Daphnia pulex: one gene and its partners. The protein of the gene in region 2 interacts with the protein of the main gene of each other region in a biochemical or structural test. Links are inferred from orthologs where the notes say so. Each region holds a gene or a part of one and is shown on either strand. Other genes may lie near its edges.

Region 1 (2,846 bases), on a different chromosome or scaffold from region 2:
AAACGGTTCCCGATTCTTTTAATTTCGGAGGAAATGGGTCTACTTCACCATTTAGCAGATGAATGTTTCTTACTAACGTTATCGTATAATTCCTTATCAATATGGTTCTATTTGATAACATCCGTCACTATCACATTTATTGATAGCTGTGCTTTGACCTTTTTTCATCAATGCCTGGTTTTCTTATTGAATCTGTCTGATTAGGTTAAATTGCCCATTTGTTTTGTTTTTTTGGTTGCCTTTTTTTTGGAGGGGAATTTTTGTGTTGTGCATTTAGGCTTTGCTTGGGAAGGTTAATCTAACTGCTGATAATGCGCTCTTTGTAGGAAGTAGGAACACTGAATAGTTCGATACTTTCTATTCTCATCAGTAGCAAAGCCTAGTCATCCATTCCCTTCCTCCTTCTGCTTGAACCGTGTATCGTTCCGTATATCGAGTAAAGAACGGTGATGGATATTCAAGAAAAAATTACAGCTGAATGATGAAACTTAATAAAAAACTAATGATGGAACGCAAAACACGCGGATGTTTATTTTTTCTGCACATGAAAATTTCCATGTTAAAAATCGTTTGAAATCAAAGTTGAAAAGAGCCATTCGTTTTTTGTTGTATCTGATTCGGATGTTATTTCAAGCATCGTTCGAAATAAACCTGTTTTCCCCAATTAGGTTCAAAACAAGATTGTGTTATTTTTAAATATGATTTCAAAGTAATTTAGCTTACCGAACCAACATATCCCCCTCGCATGGATTTTTGGACGTTTGTTTCGAATAATCGCCGGTTTGTTTGAAGTACTTCTGCAGCTTCTTTATTCAATGGATCTTCTGGATTGGGTTCCTTGAAAATCACACAAGAACAGTGAAATAAAATAACCAACATACATCAATTCTAGGGAATTTAGGACTACTAATAACAAGATGGATTTCAATGAACTGAGAAAAAGAGCTCACCAGGAAAAGGTACTGCAGACCATAAATTATGGAGTTGATTGTTAATACTGGCTTCCAGTCTTCTCGTAGAATGTTAAGACACACATTACCTTCAAGGTCAATGTTCGGGTGATACACCTGTGTCTCACACTTCACTTTGGGTGGTTCATGAGGATAACCAGGACCAACTTTGAAACTAAAAGAAAATTTCCCTCCTCTGTAAAAACCCTGTAACAGAATAATTATAAAAAAGTTTTATAAATCAAATAAATATTTTGCATTTCATAATACGTAATACCTCATCTGGAGAAATGATTAATTTGAAGTTCAGCAAGTCATCTTGGTCAGGAAATTCCATTTGACAAGTCTTGGGTAGATTTAACTCATTAATATCTACGAGACATTATAACAAATATTAAAATAAATGGAACACGGGTCACAAGGTCAGAACTTGTTTTTAGTCAATAGACCTTTGGTGATACGCAGCTGGGCAGCGGATGCTTTCTTTTGATTTCCTGCCCGACCTGGAACTTCATCTTTCTTTTGTTGTTTAAGAGAAAAAAGCTTAATCATGATGTCGGCTCCACAAATACGAGATCTACAAATTTGGGAAAACTTAACAGGGGTTTCCTTCTTATATTTACAGAGGAACCAGTCTAGATTTTATTTGGCCCAATACAGAACAGATGGGAAATTTTTGCTGATTGAGAGGACTAAACAGCAGACTGTTGGAGAAACGTCAAAAACAATTCCATATAAATTTTTTTATGCTGCCAGAAATCCAATTGATACAACTGATTTTTTTAAATTAAAAATAATATTAAATACTGTTAGGTGTAAATTTAGTTATGAATAGTAATTAACAATTCATTTTTCTAAAGTCAATAGGCCTACCCTATTTTTGAAATGTGAAAACGCTGCACAAAGAGAAATTTCTGCTTGGGAATTCGAGGGTACGAGGGAGTCGATAAACCGACTGTTAGCGTTCAAATTAGACACGTGAATTTTTGTCTCAATAGAAAATAATACTACACTTACACTTTAGAGTGTCATCTTGGTTGAACCTGATAAAAATCATCCAACAACTTCGAAGAAATGAATGGGGCAGTGACTAAGTTTAATGGAGACTCTGAAGCCAATAATTTGAATGCGAAAGAAGAAATAGTAGATTTTAGCGGGAAAGGACTCAAGTTAGATACGGAAGCCGACGGTTTGTTCTGATTTTATGTTTGCTTTATAAATGGGATTAAAGTTCTTTTTATTGGAATTTTTCAACAGCCCAACCTATTGTTAATGCAATTCAGGCTGCAAAAGGTTTGACAGGTCTCATCCTTGAAGGAAACACTCTTGGTGTTGAAGCCGCCAAGGCTATTGCCAAAGCATTAGAATCCAAACCAACCTTCCAGAGAGCACTGTGGAAAGATGCTTTTACTGGCCGGTTGAAAGATGAAATTCCAAAAGCTTTGGTAATTTGATTGTGGTGCATGTGACGATTAACAGTATTAACCACCGTTTATTTAAATAGAGTTTCTTAGGAGGAGGACTCATTTTGGCTAAAGCTAACTTAATTGAGTTAGATTTGAGTGATAATGCATTAGGTCCAGTTGGTATGGAAGGTCTTGTTCAGTTTTTGAAAAGCCCTGTCTGCTATTCTCTAAAATGTATAAGATTAAACAACAATGGCCTTGGAATTTATGGTGGACGGGTAACTAAAATTCCATTTATTTGTAATCATAATACTGCTACCTTTTACTTTAGATGCTTGCCCAAGCTTTAAATGACTGTCTTAAAGCCAGTAAAGAGGCTGGTTCTCCATTGAGTCTGAAAACCTTCATTGTTGGAAGAAATCGACTTGAAAATGAAGGAGCGATTGCTCTGTCAGAATTTTTCAAGGTCACTGTTTTTTTTATTTTCAGT
Region 2 (4,012 bases):
TTGGGACTTTTGACAAGAACGCGTTGAGTCGGTTTGCCCATCGCAAGCGATTGCAATGCACGATCCAGATCTTTTTTCGGAACGTCAGTTTCATTCATGATATCCTATAAACAGCATCAAATATGATGAATAAGAAATCATTAAGTTCTACGTGCTCTTACTTCGTAAGTTAGCCTATCTCGGGTGTTAAACAGCATAAGAATACACATCTGATAGGTTGAAACGGAGATTATGTGTTTTCGCGGTCCATTAGCTGATGACGAGGGTGTTGACGAGCTGGGGCCATCACTTCATGGAATCAATCGAAACATTCGATAAGATATGCTCAGTATATAGAGACAACATATAAATGTTCTTACGTTTTTTCTTTTGTCTCAGACTCCTCTCGTCTAGGTCCATAAAAGATTGCGCTCAGATCAGCCGACCCTAGAGCGGGTTGTAGCGTCAACTGTCGCCCACTGTGCTTTGCTAAATAAAATCGGCGAAAGACCTCAAAAGCGTTGCGTGGTGCCAATGGTAGTGTACAAGTAGCTGACGATTGTGTTGGCCAGAATCCAGTTGTTAGTACGCGAACACTCAAGTCCACTCCGTAAAGGGAGGTCTAATCAATAATCGATGGTTGGAAGGCCGTTTTATAATTGCATTTTTTTACTGGATATTTCTTACCCCAGAAGTTTGAATGTGATTTTTGAAGTCTTCCATGAGCATGTTGGAGATAGACATATCCTTGAACATGCCCTCTAATTTCGAGGTAAATTGACACCCACATTCAGTCTAACAAAGTAATTAAAATGTTAGTACGAGCTCAATAAATTGGAAATGAATAAATTACCTTCAGCTTAGAAATCATGTTCTTCTCGCTATCATCGCTAACAGATTTGTTCAGCAGCAGGCGCTTGGCCAAATGTTGTTTATAATAACGCTCGAAAATATCCTTTTCCTGGAGAAAACGGAACAAAACCATGGTTTTGTCGAGCACCAGTTCTATGTCCTGCTCTGTCATTCCTTTAACGCCCTTCTTGAGCTTGTCATCGATAAAGAGTGATAGATATTCGGGAGATTTCAAATTCAAATTAAGAAAATATTCAAAATCTGAAGAGATCATTTTCTTAAAGATTGGATCGTTTACGAAGGATTTTCCCAGAAATGTATCATAGCGATCCTTAAGATCTAATAGACTCTATAGTGTCATTAGAAATCAAAATGAAAGAAATCATTATTACAGAGAGAAAAAAAGGTAAATTTTAATAAAAATACCTGGACAAAATTCAATGCATTGGCACCGGATTCGTCGACATTAACCAGTGCTTTGCCTTCTTCTCGTAAATGCGCGCTGACACAACTAGCCATGGTTCGCAAACCATCCGCTACACGACCCAACAACTTGTACATACAGTGTAAGTCGTCAGTTTTCTGGCATTTTAACATGTGTACTACACCAGAATTTTCCATCTAGTGTGAAAACAAGAATTATTTTTCTGTATAGCATTTTTTAAAACACACTAATCTAAGTTTTACACACCTCAACAATCGTTTTCATGTGTTTCTGTATAAGTTCCTCTTCAACTACTGCAACAATACGCTGCTCGGTCGACTCATCCAAATAATGTTTGGCTCTTTCCGATTCTTCATTAATGCGCGCCTCGACTTTCTTTATGTAAACTGAAGCTGAATTCTCCCCTAAAAACCGCTGACTCTCAGACTGTGAAAGCAAAGTAAAAAAATAATTAAATAAATTGTAGAAAAATTAACAACCAAGTTTTTGTACCCTGTAGAATTCTGCAGATTGAGAAAGAAAAGGTCTTTCAAAATCCTCTTCATAGACAGCTCGACTGTCTATACCCAGCACCATGAGCATTTGACAAGCTGCTCTAACAGAAAGCTTATCTGCAACTTCTCCTTTACGCTCTCTGACAACCATTTCCAAAAGAATATGCCTTAGGTGGTCACGAATGCCTCCATAACGAACAACCTTATAGAAAGTTCAATTAAAATCAAATCCAACAATAAACTATTGAATTAGGCACTTACTTGATCACGAAAAATAATCAATCCAAGATTGTAAACATTATCAACATTATTTTGTTGAACATAAACTCTGTCCATGTACATGAGGATGTCACGAATCATAACCATAGATGTTTGATGATCACTCCATGCTTGATTTAGAATGTGAAGGAAATTGTTGTTCAAGGAAGAAAGCACATCTTGACGAACCTATGTGAAAGTGATCAGGCAAAATCTTTAGTAAAATTGAAAATTTTTTGAGCAAGAAAGATATTACTTTAGATTCTAAATGATGAGTAACAACTTCTCTAAGGCCATTGTACAATCTCTCTCCATGTTTGTGTAGAACCATTGTGTATGCATTTCGGTAAAGTTCTTCAAAACTAAGACCAGAGTTATTCTTCTTCTGAATTTCTTGAATGGCATTCTTCAGTAAACTCCAAATATTTTCCACATACCTCTCGTCCATCGTCATCTTTATTGAGAAAAACAAGAAAACAATAACAAAGATATTCTAATGCCAGAATGAAGTGTTATAATAAACTTTACAGGGAATGCACGAATTCGCATTTTTCCTTCTTTCTTTGAACCGCCGCCGAGACCACCTTTCATCATCGTGAAACTCACTCAAATTTAAATAACGAAACGAAAAAAATACAAGTATCGGCCAAATATTGATAGTTCCGAAACCTTTAAAACGTTTCCATCAAACTAGTTGGCCCCCCTTGTAAGCAAAAAAAACAGGGCAACCTAAAGGCTAACCTCTCTTTCCTTCTCTTCCTCAGAAAACTCAACGTTGTATTTTGCCATCTAGCGGCTAAATTGAAACACATCCATCTGAAGGACAATGAAAAATGGAAATCACCTCCACGCATTTTTTATTCTTTTTAAAATACGCATCGACATTGGCCACTCGCAAGAAAAAGACTTTATTAAATATCATTGATAAAAAAATTATTCGTTTGTTTCATTTCCGTTCAAAAAATGCTCATAATAATAGCTAGGGTTAAGGGTTGGCAGAAAATTGTGTTGAATATTTAAAAAAAAGGCACTAAAAGTAAAAAGTCACATTCACTGGAGAACTCGTAATGAATTATGCGCTTTGAGTCAGACAGTAGCATGCTCCTTGCTAATTTTACTAATATAAATGTATTTATGCATATCTGTGCCTGCCACAGCGCCGTGCGCATTGTCGTATTCTTAGGGAAATCTTAGCTCTTATCTCTTATTAAAAAAGAAAGGACTTAGGAAGGACTTACATAATTCGTTGTAATCTCGGATTCAAATTCTCTCAGCTTCGTTTCATTGAAACCCAATATCGCAAATAAATTAAGAAGGATTTATGCTTAGCCACCACGACAACGTCCAAAGACTTATTTATATTCTGAATAAACTATTATATAAGGAAAGCTATAATCAGGAGCTTTGTTTAACTTTAGCCAGTTTACTGTTGTTTTAAAACCAAGAATATCCATAGACTAGAGGTTTTTATTTACTAAAATGGAATGAAGAATGGAGGATGGGGGAAAAAGTGTTAGATTGTCATTCATGTTCTTATACAAAGCACTTGTGTAGGTAAACATCCGATCGCTTCCAGTAGTTTCCACTACTTTTTAAAGGAATCATCATATCTACAAAGGCTAAAGACTCAAACAAGATGTAACAATTAACACCACACCACACAGCACACATTATGAATCCAAGCTTAGTTGGGGGCTAGCCATATTCAGATGGTTATCAATCATCTGAAAAAGTTCAGGGGGTTGAGGAACTCTACCAGTTTCCATTTTAGACCAAAGTGGAACATCTGTAACAAAAATAATGATAAGTAGGTAAGTTAATAGGGAAGTAATGAATTCAATGAAATCTCACCATTTAATGTGATTTCAAATGCTCCAGTTGAAATTAATTGGCCCTCAACAGCATTGCATAGAAAGAAAGTCATCAAGCACGCATAAAATTTGTTCTGCTGAGTCCACTCCCAAACTGAGGGAGTTTGCACACC
Region 3 (3,134 bases), about 7.0 Mb from region 2:
GATCTCGAGCCTCGGCAATATGCTTTTCGATCAACTACTTGGGCCATTAATATCGGACGTGCTATTGGTGTTGCTATAGGATGTGTGCTTGGAATGGTACCACTTTTATTTTTACCTACATCTGACAGCAAACGGCATTCAAAGGACCCTTCATCTCATTTGTGATTGGCATGTCCGATATATTATTAGTCTTATAACCTTACAAATACGTGAACCTAAAATAATTATTTAAACTCATAAAAATGACATTTTGCCGCGCAATGGCAATGGATCCTACTGCGACTTGGCAACTTTAATGTTCGATTCTTATTGTTTTGCACATTTTTGAGCATTCCGATGAACTAACGTGGAGATTCTTCACATAACAATTATTTATATTGCCCACAATTGCTGTTCAATCTTGACCCCATTATTAGAGATATAGCCAAAGAATTTTACATGTTCAATACAATATATTCTAACACTTGGTAACTCATTCACAGAAAACACAAACAAAATGGTATGCATAAGCCAGTTTATTATTAAGGATTCTCAGAGGATATTTAGAAAAACGAGATGGTTCACGCAGGCCTTGAACGCACTTGGTTGAACAGACGATCTTTAATTACTTGAGCCAGCAAACCATGAAGAGCTTCAATGGAAGTTTTTGTAGCATCACGAGCTGCTTTAGCTAGCCTATCTTCCGATCTTCTATCCTCAATGCTGGAGCCACTCACACCAACGCCGCTTCCGACTAGAGCCGCCCGTCCTAGAGAGTTTTCAGCTTGCTCAAGTTTTTCCGAAAGGTCCGATACTTGACCTGTTGTATAATCAGCATTCTAATAAAAAGAGATATTAATACTTTTTATAACATGATATAACGCTTTGAATATTTGTTCTTACTGTGGTGAGAGATGAAGAACTCAATGTGCTGACCCAGTACTTATTCCATAATGAGTCTAATAGACGGCGATCCAGAGCTGATTTAAAGTAAGAAACCTCAAGGGCATAGTACTGCTTGCAGTGGACACCAAAATCTTCAACCTTATTGAGTGGGATGGTTTGATACTCACTTGGCTCTTCATTTGGGGGTTTGTAACCCTAAGGAAAAATAAAAAGTAAACTACTCTGTACGCTTGATAGAAAAATATATCTGTTCACCTTAGGGTATGTACGGAAGGCACCAAGACACACCTTGCCAGCTGAAATAGTACGAACAGGATCTACAACAATAGCAACAAAGGGTTCCTGGAAATTTTGGTTAAGCATCTGGGTAGAAACATCAATTCCTGATAGCCAGCATCCATATCCAGGGTGTGAATGGTACCATCCAATGGCATTTTCAAGACGATTAACCTAATACTCATATTCCAATTAGTTACTTAAAAATGTGATCAAGAGCAAATGTACTTGCCTGTTTAGCTGATTCTATGTAAGCAGTCATGTATTCATAAGCCTGTGACTGAGCATTTACTCTGGTTTCTGTGCCTTCAACTGGCAGGGCAAATGCATCCATTACCACCATTGTGTTTGCATCTACTTTGCCCAAAAGCAATCCCATCACTTCTAGATGTCCTCCAGACCGAGCATGAGTAACCATTTTCAACAATGCCAAGGCTGATATACGGATCTCTTTGAAGAAATGAGGGCTAGAACATAAAACGTAAAGTTGTTAACATGACTTGATACAAAATAAAAAATAATATTACTCTTTATCCCATGGTTTAGCAGCCAACATGTCTTGCTGTTGCTTTCTATCATATCGATAAATTTCGTCAACTGAACTAATATTTTCCACATTATTAGCCATGAGCCAATTATTCAGGGCTATGTTAGATTGTGAACTCATCTTGGATGTGGAACACACAACCAATTTTACTTGAAACCTCTTTTTGCAAAAGACACTCTAAAGTCCAAATGGGGAAATTCGAACGAGGTATACCAGTGCTGAATATATCAAATCCAAACGTACAGCCGGAAACTAAATCTCATCGACTGTTGATGTCGTCTACGAGACTACGACCTACGGGTCTTGTTTTGCCTTTGGCATACTGGGAGCTGCTGGGAGAATGAAGAGGTAAAATGCGGGTCGCGGCGGTGGTAGGAACAAAGTAAAACGTAGGATTTCAGCCTCAGGGATGGATTGGACGACTGCGATTGCCTAGTCTGCTACGACTGCTACTTCAGTACTTCTGACTTCTCCTACTCCATTAGTCCATTGTCCATTGCCTCACCACTAAATCCCTATCTACTCTTTTTCCCACGTTTTACTATTTCTTACCGTGGAGTTGCCGATGCCCGATAAACAAATTCAAACTTGTTTCCAAACATGCTTTCGTTTCGAGTGTGGCAAATTAAACATAACCGTAGGAAAATACCTTGGAAATATTCATTATCTAGTTTAAATATTCTTCATAATTATAGAATACATTTTTCAACAAAAAGCCAATGCAAAGAAGAAGTATCTATTTCAAACAAATGTGTTACTATTAATCCGTGTGGTATACAAATGTTATCAAGATCTATCCATCGACAGATATTCGAAAAAGAAAACAACAATTCTGTATCTAAAGAAACGCTGTTAAAAATTCAGCAGCATTTATCAATTCACCATCTTTATGGCAAATCACCAAGTAAACTCCCAGATATTGATTTGAAGCTCCCAACTTTATTAGGAAAAAACATAGCAGAACACTTTGAAAAAATTGCTGAAAAACAATGTGGAAGTTACCGTAATAAATTGTTAGATTTGACATCACATTGCATTCCAGACATCCCTCAAGTCTGGAACTTTGCACCTGGATGGACAAGATACAACCAAAATGGAGAGATGGATCTAGTTCATTTTCCAGAAGAGGATGCATATGTCTTTGATGTGGAAGTCTGTGTGAAAGAGGGCCATTTGCCAACCCTTGCAACTGCAGTTTCAAAAAACTACTGGTACTCATGGTGTAGTAATCAGCTGTTTACTGAAAATAAGGTTTATTTTTATTTTTCTTAATACTTTTTTCACCCTATATCAATGCTTTATTATCCTACTTGACAGGTGCAAAGTTCAATTTTGAAGGATATGGAAAGTATTTATGAATTAAAGGACTTGATCAACTTGGAATCAAAAACGGAACAAGACCGTCTCCCTCTCAAAGATCAAAAAG
Region 4 (3,721 bases), about 1.4 Mb from region 2:
AGTTCTTCAAAGAGATATAAAAATAAGTCAGCATACATTTATTCCATGAGTTATCAAGTAGTACCTGGTATTTGGCTTTGCAACTTCCATTTTAAGCACATTGAAAAGTAAGACCTTCAATCAAATTCCAAACAAAGATTACGCCTTGTTTGAAATAGCGGCGAAAATCACTCTCTCTCTTTCGGTTAGTCTTCAAGTGTAGTCTGCTATCACTTAGGAGCCGCCTGGCGGTCAGATTCAGAAGGGGGAGGGTCGGAGGGAGAATAAACGGGAAACGGAGGATGGGCATGGGATACAGGCCTGCCTGAACAGGGTTATAATTTTCTAAAATCTGGTTTATTGAGTTCTAGTTTGCGGCTGGTTTGCGGTTTCCTTTTTTTTAACAAACAACAACATAAAAATAATTATAAACTAAATATATATGTATGTTGGGTTGGTTGAGGATTTATATAAGGATGCCACTTCACTAACTACAAAGTTTTCAAACTAAGAACAAACAATTTCATCTGTATAAGCCAAAGGCTTACATTCACATCTGTATTGATGTCTTCATCCACAGTGGTCTAAGAATAGCACATAAACAAGTAGAAAGCAATCAACAGTCACAGGAAAAATACCGATTTTACATAAACACACAAACAGGCTTACGGTACGTTACATTCGGGAAAAAAGGGTGGGTATACAGAAATACCAATATATACCTACTCTTTAGAGTGGCAATCATGGTCAATCAAATTGTTACCAATCAAAGACAGTTCTTCTCAAACTACAGTATAAACAATTGGAGAAAATAAAGGTGGTTTGAGAAAGACACGATATTTCAAAGACGTGAACAAGAGGGGCCGTTTAAAAAAGAGGGACATTGGCAGGTCAGTACTCTGTACGGCGAAAGTCGTCAAGGAATCACAGCAGATATTGTTTTCATAGTATAAATGAGAGTCAAGGTGGACGAAGATTCAAAGTAAACTAACCGATACAAATACGAATTCAATAACTCACTCATCCATCAGCAATTATCATGTCTTAAAAAACCACATAGTTAATACACTCATCTGAAACGATTCAAGGTGAGAAGAGAGAAAAACTTAATACAGCAAAGCGAAACGAATACGGGAAGAAGCTGAGGGTTGATCACCATCAGTGTAGTTCTTCCTTGGCGTGCAGCACATTTTGGTTGGCTCGATCATTGGCCCATTCAACGAAATCGTCAAAAAGGCTAGGCCAAGCTTCTGTGTCGTCGTAGCGGGAAAGATCATTTCCCACAGCGTCCACTAAGTGTAGAAACATGCACCATGTATCCCTGAAGAAGAGAATTTAAATTTAAATTGCATTGAAATGCCCAACTGTTGGTGATTTGTACCTGGGTATAGCTCGAACAGGTGGAGGAGACTGTTCAAGAAATTCGATCCAACGATCAAGGAGAGGGACGGGTCGATGAGTAAATACAAGCCGCCAAAGTGAAACGGCTACATCAACAGGCAAAGAGCGTTGACCACACTCTACATCCAGAGCGAAGCGAAACGCATAGCGGTAAACGTCACTGAAAACTTCGCTGTCCTCTACTTCTTTTACTAATTGTTCTAAGCTGAACTTGAGACTACGAGGCGAATCTGTTCCTAATAGTCGACATCCCTGGATAAATGATTACACATTAATTTCAATTTTTTAAATAAATTATTTGTTAGTGTTGTTACTTGTAAGAATTCATTCTTGCTGAGCTTGCCCATTTGAGCTGCATCGCACTTCCATGCAAATAAAAGAATACGAAAGTCGTCAGCCGCTAAATCCAAATCAGCACACAGATGAAGTATTCCATCAGTGGTTATGGCATCTTCAATCCTGTCTTCAGTATTTCCACAGTAGCTTTCATAGAAGGCCACTAAATTGTTTTCTGACACTTCCACTGCACTAGTTCCATTCCCCATTCCACCAGTGCTTAATGCACCATTGATGGTATTGTTGTTTGTCTTCTTAATATCACCTGTTTGAGATGTAAAATTTAGTAAGTGTATGGGTGGCTTCATAACAAAGAAATGTTTATTCACCTGAGCTATTACTCCCTCTTCCAACCAGTGGTGGAATGAGCACATAAAAGGGCCTACGCATCTCCCCTTTAGAGTCTCTAGCGTCCAACCCACTTCCATTCACATATGTTTCAGAGCTGATGACCAGGTTAGAGTCCTCTAGCTCTTCCGATTGTGAAGGACGGTATGTATCTGTGTGACCATGAAAAAGGATTGGGTTACACAAAGGTACATTATAAATTAAATTTTCAACTAACCAGAGTCTTCTAGTTTACTTGATGAAAGAGAATAATTTCCAGGAGCAACGGATGATCTGGTATTCGCCTCACTTTTAACACAGGAGCAGCAATTCCCCATGGATGGATTTCACAAACCCGAATCGCGCGCTATAGCCTCACAACTTCAATCCCTTCCCTTCGATTCACTTTTTCTTTTTAAATCGTAACTAGCACATCACCATTGAGCCCTGATCTCGTTTTACGTGAAAATCTCGTAAGATATAAAGCTACCCAATATATAAAGGAGAATCATGTAGAAAATGAAAGGAAAACCCTGGCACACAAAACACTTGTGGGGGGAGGGGGTGACGTTTAGTCCGAAGCACACAGGCATCACAAAGCCTCCTTGCGTCCGAAAAATACACTTTACACTAGATTCAAAATGGCGGACGAAAACGAAACTTCAGTATGTATACAACTCCACATTTTTTAAATTTTAAATTAATAATTCAAGCTTTCATATTGCCACTTTCATTTAGGCCCCTGTAATTACTGTGGAAGAGCCACTTGATTTGATTCGCCTAAGTCTCGATGAAAGAATTTACGTCAAAATGCGAAATGAACGAGAGTTGAGAGGCCGGCTACATGTAAGTCGAGCACATTAAATTGCTTTTTGCTATAAAATTGTGTTCCCAAAATATATTGTATTATTGTTTATGGTCCATAGGCATATGATCAACATTTGAACATGGTGCTAGGTGAGGTAGAAGAAACAGTAACCACTGTTGAAATTGATGAAGAAACTTATGAAGAAGTTTACAGAACAACTAAACGCAACATTCCCATGCTCTTTGTACGTGGAGATGGTGTGATTCTGGTCTCCCCTCCAATGAGGGGTTCAGTTTGACAAATTAACTCAAATTCTTTCATTGTTTTGAAATGTCAAAGGCTGAATACATTGCTTTCTGATTATCTAATTAGACCACATGTGTCACTATCATTTAAGAATTCCCTAACTGTGTTTACAGTTATGATGCATTTAGGCTCTTTAATGACATATGCCTTGCATAAATAAAATATGTTAATTGTGTTAAAAACTTCATACAATAATTGGGTTAAAACTATGATAATATGATGATATGATACTACTTTTTTTTTAGAAAAGGAATGTTAGAGTTAAATATGGAATGAGATTTTAAAAGATAAATAGAACAACGACTGTTCATAGTTTAAAACGTCTAGAATTAAAAATTTATAATAACAAAACAATTAAGAATTTAGACCTATATTTGATTTACACGGAAAAATTTGAAACTTTTTAGTCCAATCCAGACGGCTTTTCAGTAAACCAATGAAATTGCCCGAAACTGTTTTCTTCCAAAAAAACAAATGACAGTCTAGCATTTTAAGTCGTCTGCTCTTAGACACGGCTGCGACACGTGTTGTCCATCGTTAGCGTAAGTTAAAAGCGGTGTTACT

The links. The genes of interacting proteins can lie anywhere in the genome.
Region 1: the proteins of cullin-3-A-like (region 2) and NEDD8-conjugating enzyme Ubc12 form a complex in vitro, tested with the Homo sapiens proteins (2 studies listed by BioGRID, with this or other methods). The link is inferred for Daphnia pulex from reciprocal best matches to the Homo sapiens genes CUL3 and UBE2M.
Region 3: of the proteins of cullin-3-A-like (region 2) and COP9 signalosome complex subunit 5-like, one has a biochemical effect on the other in vitro, tested with the Homo sapiens proteins (2 studies listed by BioGRID). The link is inferred for Daphnia pulex from reciprocal best matches to the Homo sapiens genes CUL3 and COPS5.
Region 4: the proteins of cullin-3-A-like (region 2) and DCN1-like protein 3 form a complex in vitro, tested with the Homo sapiens proteins (3 studies listed by BioGRID, with this or other methods). The link is inferred for Daphnia pulex from reciprocal best matches to the Homo sapiens genes CUL3 and DCUN1D3.

Annotation. Positions count from the first base shown.
Region 1 is NC_060024.1:11,931,767-11,934,612, forward strand, and holds NEDD8-conjugating enzyme Ubc12, read right to left. Parts: upstream 1,678-2,846; 5' UTR 1,503-1,677; coding exon 1,400-1,502; intron 1,323-1,399; coding exon 1,228-1,322; intron 1,158-1,227; coding exon 951-1,157; intron 838-950; coding exon 724-837; intron 652-723; coding exon 625-651; 3' UTR 501-624; downstream 1-500. Other genes in the region: importin-7-like, read left to right, coding at 1-62; ran GTPase-activating protein 1-like, read left to right, coding at 2,025-2,139, 2,208-2,395, 2,455-2,634, 2,688-2,822.
Region 2 is NC_060026.1:11,981,844-11,985,855, forward strand, and holds the start of cullin-3-A-like, read right to left. Parts: upstream 2,801-4,012; 5' UTR 2,623-2,800; coding exon 2,557-2,622; intron 2,483-2,556; coding exon 2,285-2,482; intron 2,218-2,284; coding exon 2,032-2,217; intron 1,973-2,031; coding exon 1,769-1,972; intron 1,703-1,768; coding exon 1,523-1,702; intron 1,453-1,522; coding exon 1,258-1,452; intron 1,181-1,257; coding exon 833-1,180; intron 775-832; coding exon 667-774; intron 602-666; coding exon 360-601; intron 289-359; coding exon 162-288; intron 105-161; coding exon 1-104. UniProt on the Homo sapiens protein: Core component of multiple cullin-RING-based BCR (BTB-CUL3-RBX1) E3 ubiquitin-protein ligase complexes which mediate the ubiquitination and subsequent proteasomal degradation of target proteins.
Region 3 is NC_060026.1:5,023,679-5,026,812, forward strand, and holds COP9 signalosome complex subunit 5-like, read right to left. Parts: upstream 1,897-3,134; 5' UTR 1,829-1,896; coding exon 1,689-1,828; intron 1,629-1,688; coding exon 1,394-1,628; intron 1,336-1,393; coding exon 1,141-1,335; intron 1,081-1,140; coding exon 883-1,080; intron 819-882; coding exon 561-818; 3' UTR 501-560; downstream 1-500. Other genes in the region: transmembrane protein 65-like, read left to right, coding at 1-165. UniProt on the Homo sapiens protein: Probable protease subunit of the COP9 signalosome complex (CSN), a complex involved in various cellular and developmental processes.
Region 4 is NC_060026.1:10,627,986-10,631,706, forward strand, and holds DCN1-like protein 3, read right to left. Parts: upstream 2,424-3,721; 5' UTR 2,382-2,423; coding exon 2,282-2,381; intron 2,217-2,281; coding exon 2,046-2,216; intron 1,982-2,045; coding exon 1,695-1,981; intron 1,633-1,694; coding exon 1,361-1,632; intron 1,301-1,360; coding exon 1,138-1,300; 3' UTR 501-1,137; downstream 1-500. Other genes in the region: uncharacterized protein LOC124205018, read right to left, coding at 1-4, 65-90; nucleolar complex protein 2 homolog, read left to right, coding at 2,685-2,708, 2,782-2,889, 2,970-3,138. UniProt on the Homo sapiens protein: Contributes to the neddylation of all cullins by transferring NEDD8 from N-terminally acetylated NEDD8-conjugating E2s enzyme to different cullin C-terminal domain-RBX complexes and may play a role in the cell cycle progression by regulating the SCF ubiquitin E3 ligase complex, after UV damage.